Linked DNA regions of Drosophila melanogaster. The protein of the gene in region 2 interacts with the protein of the main gene of each other region in a pairwise test. Each region holds a gene or a part of one and is shown on either strand. Other genes may lie near its edges. The genes, in order: bru3 and TwdlC.

The links.
Region 1: the proteins of TwdlC (region 2) and bru3 interact in a two-hybrid assay, tested with the Drosophila melanogaster proteins (one large-scale study listed by BioGRID).

The regions. Positions count from the first base shown.
Region 1 is NT_037436.4:13,795,288-13,800,341, reverse strand, and holds the start of bru3 (bruno 3), read left to right. Parts: upstream 1-1,814; 5' UTR 1,815-2,318; intron 2,319-5,054.
Region 2 is NT_033777.3:26,992,741-26,997,000, reverse strand, and holds TwdlC (TweedleC), read right to left. Parts: upstream 2,170-4,260; 5' UTR 2,068-2,169; coding exon 1,932-2,067; intron 1,717-1,931; coding exon 770-1,716; 3' UTR 559-769; downstream 1-558.

The DNA.
Region 1 (5,054 bases), on a different chromosome or scaffold from region 2:
AAAAATAGTGTAAAAATTTTTTAAATATTGAAAAAAAAAAAACGTATAAACGCTAGTATTTCGCAGCTTTTTAAATTTGCCTTTAAATTGAGCTTCTGATTAATAGCGCCTGTTTTTTATGCCGGCAAAGTCCTTCCTTTTTTGTGTTAAAGATATCCTCTTCCATTCTCATCTGGTGTTTTCGATGTTTCTCCCTTAGGCTTTTTGGCTCATCTTAACTCACAGCGTTCCTTTTTAGTTTCACTGTCTCCATTCGTTTTGCCTTCCATAAATAAAATAAATGTAGGTGAAAATATACATAAATAATGGGCACAAGCGCGGCTTTTTTTATGAAGTGTTTGAATGTGCGAGTGTCAACCCAGGGCACTTGAAAGATGGTGGGGAGGGGGGCTTGTGATGGGGGCGACGTCTGTGAAAATTATAAAACAGACGACGCAGCCATTCTGGCGGGGCAAAGATATTATGGCCTCTGAAGGCTGAGAAGGGGACCCCTGCCATGTAGGCGTGTGTAAATAGCAAAAACCTAGTCGGGCGTACACAAGCCAAGTCATCATGGAAAATGGCTAAACAGGCAAAAGAATAAGGGCCAAAGAAGATAGAAAGATAACAGAGTGGAAGGCATGACAAATACGTTTTCTCTGCCTTTTTTTTATGGCATATACATATATGCCCCGAGGTAGTGGGACGTATAAAGTTTGACCTCCAATCAATAAATCACATTAAAAGGGGATCTTTCAAGAAATGAAGAGAATGACAATGGACAAAGATGGCCAATAACTGACCCATAATTGTTCATTGTCACGTCATTGTCCGCGTCAGTTGCTCAAGGCACATGAGAATAGTATCCAGCAAGAAATGTATTTATTCTTGGCCTCTTTTTCGTTCTTTTCCGCTAATTATTGTGTAATATTAATCTTATTAATAAATAACAAGGAATCATAGTATCCATATACTAAGAAACATCTCTCTAATAGCTAAGAAGTATCCTTTTCTTGTCACCTAGATCTCGCTTTTCTCCGCAAGCTAGATATACAGCCCAAGTATCCTTAATAAACACCGCACCGATAAATGACTGTTACTCATAGTATTCACCTAGAAAGGATGATGTACTTTTCCCCGAAATGAACACTTCGCCATTAAATGGGTGAGGAGTATCCTTTTTGTATCACTTGGCTCTGGATTTTCGCCGCTTTTCTCTCTTCATTTTCTTCTGGGCCAGTCAGGTCTCATCATCCGCTTGCGCTTTTTTCTCAGCTTTTGGCTTGATTTCCTTTTTTGTCGCTACAGCCAGAGTCCTTTTGCTCCGCGCTTGCCTTTTACTAGCCCAGACTGCGCCCACAAAGACGTGTACATATATGTGTTTTTCCAGCTGCCAAAAGGCTGCGCTTGGCTTCTTCGCAGCCAGTGTTTTGTTTTTGGCTTCGTCAGCCAACTTTAGCTATTGACAGACCTTGCCACCTCGCGTCCATGTCCTTGCTGGAAAACATTTCGCTTTCAGCGCTCATTTTGCAGGATGTCGGGAAAGTGATGTAAAAAATATACACAACAATTTCAAGATATCTTCTGTGGCCTATACTGCGTGCCCAAAAGCCATAATTATCACGCGTTCACATGGCGTATACGAGATTTTGCTGTTTCGCGTTTAAACTCTTAACCGAAATTTATGCTTTCGCTGTTGCTAATTGTACATTTTGTTGCTCTTGCTGTTTATAATGTAAAATTTATTGTGTTTGTGCATGTTTATTATCGCCACGCCGTTACGCGCCCTCATATGGATTTGTAACACGCCCCCCTACACCCCCTCTTTAAACATCACTGTGCATTTATGTTTTACAGCGTCTGCAAAAAATATTATCAAAAGTAATAAATGAATAACAAAATACAAAACAAACGCCATCAATAATTCATGGGAAAAAAAACAACACAAACAGAAATAACCAAAAATAAAAGCTTGCGGCGCGTCGTTCTTTAAATATTTTATAAATTAATTCTGCAAACAGCGTAAGCGAAATTAAAAAATACAACAAAAACATCAGGAATTAATGTAGTGCCTAATGCAATGTGTAATAAAACCGTGTAGACCAGGAGGTGCGCCAGATCATTAAATACCAGCAAACACTGTTAGGTGAAAAAAAAAAAAAAATTATGAAATACAAATTTATATTTATTATTGAATAAATATGCAGAGTAAATATTACATATGCTAACCGTGAAAACAAATTGAATTATACAGCAAATAAAACAACAAATACTTTTCGTCGTGTTTTCGAATGTTTGGCTATTAAAGCGCTTACAGCTTAATTGGGCGTTACAAAGTGGTAAGTAAAAAAATAAACACTTTTGATAAACAATTATTTTTGAAAATATAAATTATTAAAATGATTTTAGTCAAAAGTTTCATAGAATAAGAAGATGCTTTACATATTCATAGTGTTATATTTTGATATATGTCCGTTTCTCTTTTTATTTTTTTAGCCCACATTAATCAAACGACTATCTCAGTAAATTTGCACAGTATTATTATAGTTTAATTCATCGCACAAAAGACTCCTTAATCTTTCATGCAGCGATCTTTTAATATCCTCTAACTATTATCAAAACATATCAAAAATTGTAATTAAGATACCATTGCATTTCCCTTGGTAAATATATCACAGTTTTTTCTAATTTAAACACACGTACACAACGTCGTTCATGGCTTTATCAGCCAACTTTGCTGATTCAAAGATATCTGTCGACCCTCATCCATCAACAAAAACCCAACCACAAATGTCACATGCAAATTCGGTTCGCCTTGTAACGGAAGTGCAAGCAAAAAATAGCGAAAGATTTTTATACATAACTTTTTATGCTACTCATTGTTGGGAGCAGAAACTTCAACCTCCTTCCAACGGTTTGAGGTGGTGCTTGCTGCACTTTTGCGGCGAGGTGAGCTGTACGGGTGTGTGCACGTTTTTGCATTTGCACCACTTTATTTCAATTTTATTCGCCATTTTCTTCGTTTGCGTGGTACATTTCCTGGGGACGAGACGCAGCAGTGACTTTTGCTCGGCAGCTGACTCGACTCCACTTTCCGTTTACCCTGGGCTGCCCTCCTCATTACCCTCTTTACATTTCTAATTACACGCTCATTTTAAACTTGAAACATTTGCAAACGGATGCCTGGGTCTGGAGGAGTCTGCGATTTTCAGTAACAATTTTCCATTTCCCATGCCATGAGGCTGCAAAAATGTTGGGTCACAAACGTAATAGACCAGATTTTCCTGTGACTGCTAAAGAAACCTAGCTGGCCGACCACAAATGTCTGGCATCTAGGGCTTGATTTGGAGACAAGTCTTGCATTTGACAATTTTCTTTCATTTTGGGGCCTGAAAACATTTTCCTACAATGTTCTCAATATATTCCACTATTTTCGAGTTCATTTTAAGACCAATTGATATTACTAGTAGTATTTAATCTTAAATGTTCGCTTAGGGAATAGTAATTTTTAATTGCCGTTTTTATACTTAGAACACAAAAAGTAGACACTGTAATTTGCGAACCCTGGACATACCAAACGCGTTTTCGTTTTGTTAAGTTACTAAAAAATTAAAACAATGCTGCATGTCCATTTTGCATGTGAGGAAACATTTGGCGCGCAAGTAAATGTGCATGTGGGTGAGATGGTTTTTGCCGTTTCTAGACTGCTCTTTGTTTGAGTTGTGTTTTAATTTCCATATTACGTGCTGGCCAGAGATTTATCAATGCGATTTATATAAGCCATAATTTCTCCATTTCACCCAGAAGTAAGTTAGTAAATTACTGCAATCGCTTGCAACATCAATGGGTAAAATTTAACAGCAATAACCTTACATAAGATTTCACTATTTTCCTTTTTTTATAATAGTTTGAAAAATTTATATTATTAATTGTTTAATTAGAAATAGAATAAGTATGGATTAGAAAGTAATAATGAAGTGAAAGGAAGCGGCGTTGACTTACGTTGCCATTTGACCTTTTCAGGCCCCTTGAAGGGCAATTCTAACACACTGTCTCTCTCACAGGAAATGTTTATAACATGTCCTCCTTTGACAACTTATTCAATGAAAAGTTTCAAATAGTAGCTTATGAATAGTAAAAGAAAGATTATGAAATCTATTGGTAAGCGTTTAAAATGTAATTGAAATATTGCTCATACGCAGCATGTGCCCATTTATTGAAACTGGAAAGAATGCCAAGTTGGTTCATACCCAGTTGGCCCAATCAGGCCAATTCAATGACATAAATCTTAAGGCAATAAAGCAAAGAATGTCGCAGCATGAGACTATTATATTGTGCATACTGAGCTGGTAAAGCAAATCTCGTAAATGTACTAATATAAAATTGGTATTAATGGGCTGTCGCCTTAGGTGAAATTACCTTTAAGAATAATTGTATAAACAAGCAAGGGGATAGGAAGTTTAATAAGAAAGTATAAACTTTATAATTGAGAAAACTATTTAAGCCTATTTAAGCTTTTTTTATCTAACCTTTATCTCAACTTTTTCCGTTCTATGGTTCTACTTTTGCGTCTTTAAATTTAGCAATTGCCGCACTTGTAGGAAAGTTTCAATTATAAGTCAGTGTGCCAAAAATTGTTTCACAAACTCTAATTAATTTATAGTGCTTCACAACTCGTAGCTTAAATGGTGCAGTTGATAAATTGGCGAGATAAAATTATAATAATGCTGATGTGGAAATAAAATATGCAAAATACTTATTGTACAACTCGTTCCTATTTAATGATATCTTTTCTCAGTTACTATTAAATATGTTAATCTGCGCAAAGCGGCACTAAAAAAAATACACCAACACGCAGGTAAAACTGAAAATACCTTTAAAGAAAACAAACTTCAGCGGCGCTATCAACTGCAGATTTCGCTGTTGGTATTGCCAATTTAAGCGAAAATTAAATTGGAATTTGCAATGAATATTTGAACAAAAGTACACAGACCAGAGTGCGGTAAGCGAGCAGTGGTAATGGGATCGAAGCGAGAGGATGGGCATAGGCTGCATGAAATGAACACAAGTGTTGA
Region 2 (4,260 bases):
CACCTACGATGCGACTCGCGCGAGCACAGAAAGCGAACTGAGTGTGCAGCCGGATTTTTCATCCGGACTGACTGATCAAACGGCCACGAAACTCGGGCACGAACCCGAAAGGCAGTTCCTCGTACTCCTTTTCCCGGCTTTTCCATCCACATGTTGCAACATAGCTCTGCGCAGGCAGCAACTGTTGCTTTTGGCGGGAAGTCTCAGCAACATGTTGCTCCGGCCTCTTCCCTCTAAGTGCTTTGCCATTTTGGCCATTACTTTACGATTTTTCTATGAGCACAGCAATGAGGAAAGCCGTCGAAATTGGGCCTACAGCCGAAATCAACAAAACGTAACGCAATTAAGCAGGCTGTAAATTTGCCAAGGTCACGACTTCACACAGGGTCAATTATCATATTAGGCGGCATGAGCCATCATTAAATCATTGAAATGCGAAATCCATTGTTGTTCCACTGTGTTTTATCCGAATTAACTGGACCATTTACTAAGCTTAAAGAAAGTGTATAAAACTTTTGAGGAATATTCCACACTAAAAGGCCATTTAGTTTTTTTTTTATAAATTTGATATTTATTATCTACTCTTTATTAAAACAAATGTAACAAGTTATACAAACGAACAAACAACGAGATGTGCATGTGGGGAGGTTTGGCACGTGTGCATGTGTGAATTGGGAACAGGGGATTGGGAAGAGGTGCATCCAATGGACATTAGACTATGACAAACTGTGAAATTGGCTAAGGCATCACCATCTCAAAGCAGCGGGCTTCACTTCAGCTTCTTAAGGAAGTAGCGGTTGGGAGGACCGTAGCTGGTGGCAGGCACATGGGAAGGAGCCAGTCGCTGCTCGGGCTGTTCCTCCACCACGATGGGCGCCATTGAGGGCTCCTCAATGGCCAGGGCGGCGGGAGCGGTGGCAGGGGGCAGATACTGGTTGGCAGGAGCGGACAAGGTGGTCTGAACCTCCTCACCAGTATAGGCAGCTGCAGTGGGTGGTCCGTAGACCGCGGAGGGAATGGCTGGCTGCTCTACTTCCGGCTCGGGAGCAGGAGCCAGGGTGGTGGGTGGCAGGACATCGGCGACCTCAGCCAATGGAGCGAAATCCTCGGCGGTGGCCTGACGGGGCTCCATCTCTGCAGGTGGGGGTCCATAGACGGGGGCCTCGTCCTTCTTGGTCTTGTACTTGATGAAGTAAACCTCTGGCTTCGATGGCTTGGTGGGTGGTGGCGTCGGGATCACGATATCTTGCTCCTGCTCGGGCTTCTTGTGCAGCACATAGATCAGAGTCTTCTCCTCATTCTGGGGTGGTGGTGGCACAACTGGCTGACGGATAGCCGGAGCAGATGGTGCCTTGATGAACACGATCTTGTAGTGCTTCTGCTTGGGTCCCTGCTGGTGGTGAACTCGGGTCTGGATGGCATCCTCCTCCTCGAAGTCCTTTGGCGGCACATGGACGTAGATGTGCTTGTGCACCTTGGTCTCCTGGGGGCCATTGTTGTAGCCACTGGCATGCTGCACTCCGGACAGGCGGTGGGCCATGTTGTAGCTGTCATCGTAGGCATTCAGGGGCTCAGCGGCGGCGGCAGTGGGAGCCACTTGCTCGATGGCATCCAGATGCATTTGGGGTGGCAAGTAGGTCTGCTGGGGCGGTGCAAAGTTGGCAAACGACTGCTCCTGGGGCAGAGGCTGGTAAATCTGCGGGGGAACGGGGTGAGCTGTCCAAAAAGAAAGATTAATAAGATTAAGATAAATATATGGAGTTAATATATCTACATTTGCTGAATTATATTACTATAATCAATGTTTAATCTAATCTTTAATAGTTGTCATGCTCATAAGACTTTAGCAAAAATCTGTGTCACATAAATAGCTTTAATCTTTTTCGCTTTAATTTCCTATAATGTTTCTATTTCATCCTCCGCCCACTTACCATTGAGTGGCAAAGCCCGCTGGCTCTGCTGCTGAGGCAATCCGTGGTAGGAGTACGGGGATGGGGGCTCAGGACGACCCAAAGTGGTGGCCACCAGGGAGGCCACGCACACAACGAACAGCGAGGAGACACGCATTTTGCTTCTGGTAATCGGAAATCCTTTGCTGCTTAGTAAGCCCGTAATCCTTTGGCTCGATGAAATGCTTCGATGGAGAAGCTCGATGCTCGACTGATGCTGACTTGGCCGCCGCGGTCCGAATTTATATGATTCGATGTCCGCAGCTCCGAGTGCTCAAAGTCTCATTACAAAAGGTAAACGAAATAAACGAAAAAATGAATTTAATTAAGCATCAAAAGAGACGCGAAGAGCTTCGGATGAACTTGGCCAAAAGCGAGTAGAAGGCGGCGCAGAGCAAAGATACGGATACGGATGCAGAGAGAAGTCTGCGACACGTGTCTTTTGGGTTCACAAGCGAGAAATTGGAGCAAACCCGTCTGCAAAACGAATCTCCCAGGAGGGGGCAACCCCATAGTCCACAATCAATGCCCTGGGCCAACGCGAAAAAATGTTTGCCCAAATCGTTATGTGTAACACTCTCCGCTGAGTATCTCGTATCTGGTATCTTGTAGCTCGTAGCTCGTAGCTCGTATCTCATATCTCGCATCTGAAAGATGCAGCAGCCGCAACCTTCGGCCAAGTGCGCCAAGTGTTATTTTCACAATTGGAGCGCACTTAAATTGCTGGCTCGAAATCGAAAGTGACCCACGATTACACACTCGACCGAGTCCCATTGATGAACTTCATTCATGTGACGCCTCGAGGAACTTGTTTGTCCAGTTTGTACTTCCTCGACAGCCGGGTCATGTGATTCCCCGGCAATCCAGTCAAGGGATAATCCATTTTTTCGCATGATTAGCAAGGAATCTAAATAGTGAACGGGAAATACGAAAACAACGTGTTGTGCTAGGACATTAAGCCAAGTATACATTAAATGTGTAACTTAGTAAATTTGTAAAACAAAGTTGCAGGTTTATTATGCTTTCAGCTTTAGTATTTTTCTTTATAATTATTTCTACTCATTCTTAAGTATCATTAAGCTTCAATGTTGTCTCATTGCATATGGAACTAACAATAGTTACTTTAAAAGATCCCAGTCATTGCATACAATACAATGCATTTTAACCCATTCTTAAACCCTAACAAATTCGTTTATAAACCTATAAATACACGCAGTCATCAGACCAAAAATAACACAATAACGAAGGGCTTTTCAAGGCCAGTTCCAAATTTCCCCCGAACTGTCAACCGTTGACGGCGGACACTTTCAACACCTACGATAACAATTACGAAACAATCGTAACAAAATCAAAATCAAAATCAATTTTCAAATTGAAGCCAAACATTAAGCGTCGAAAACGAAAACAATAAGTAATAAAACAAAACAGCAGCTACCCAAATAAAGTGAATAGCGAGCGGCATTTAATTGGATTTGCTGCACACAGCCATTGGTTCGAAAGTAAATAGACCGCCAGTACCCACTATCCAATACCCAGTAACCAACCAGTAACCAGCTGAATCGAGACGCTTGTCCACTTGCTGTCCACACACAGAAATCATTAATTGTAATTGCAGCCGACGCATCTCGACGCAGCGAGGTGGAGAAATGTCGAGTGGCTGTGCGGACACATGTAGCTTATGGCTATAACTACATCGACATGGCTATAAGGCGGCACAAGAAGTTGGGGGGCGTACGTAATGGCAACAGGGTTTTGGAGCTTTACGTCACCGTTCGATCGATTGGAAATTGGTGCACTTGGCCACCGAAGAAGAAGCCTAACGAGTCAAGCGCTGTCAACGGGAAGAAGGGTCCGGACTCAAAAAATAAAATCAGGGATGCAACTTAATTTAAACATATACATAAGTAAATAGTACATTGAAACATGGCATAGAAATTGATAAAATTGTTCAAAAATATCAGTAAAAATGTGCAAAATTATCCGTAAACGAGGTCAAAATATAGATTGTCATACCTTGCTGGACTCGTAAAAACATGCTTAATCGTTTGGCATTCAAGAATGAAAAAAAAATTTTTTGTCAATTTTTGCGAAAAATTACGATGTTACCCCTTATAAAAAATGGAAAATTTTGACAAAAAATTTAATTTCTGGAATCAAATCAAAAGTGATTGCGTTGGTTTGCTGAGGTCTTTAGCTCTCTAAAAAGGTGTTTTTCTTAGCTGTGGCTGCCATTTTGGCCGAGTTACAAGCTTAAGCCCATCAAATGTATAAGTACAAAAAGAAAAACTTGGTGAAAATCTGATCTTTAGTG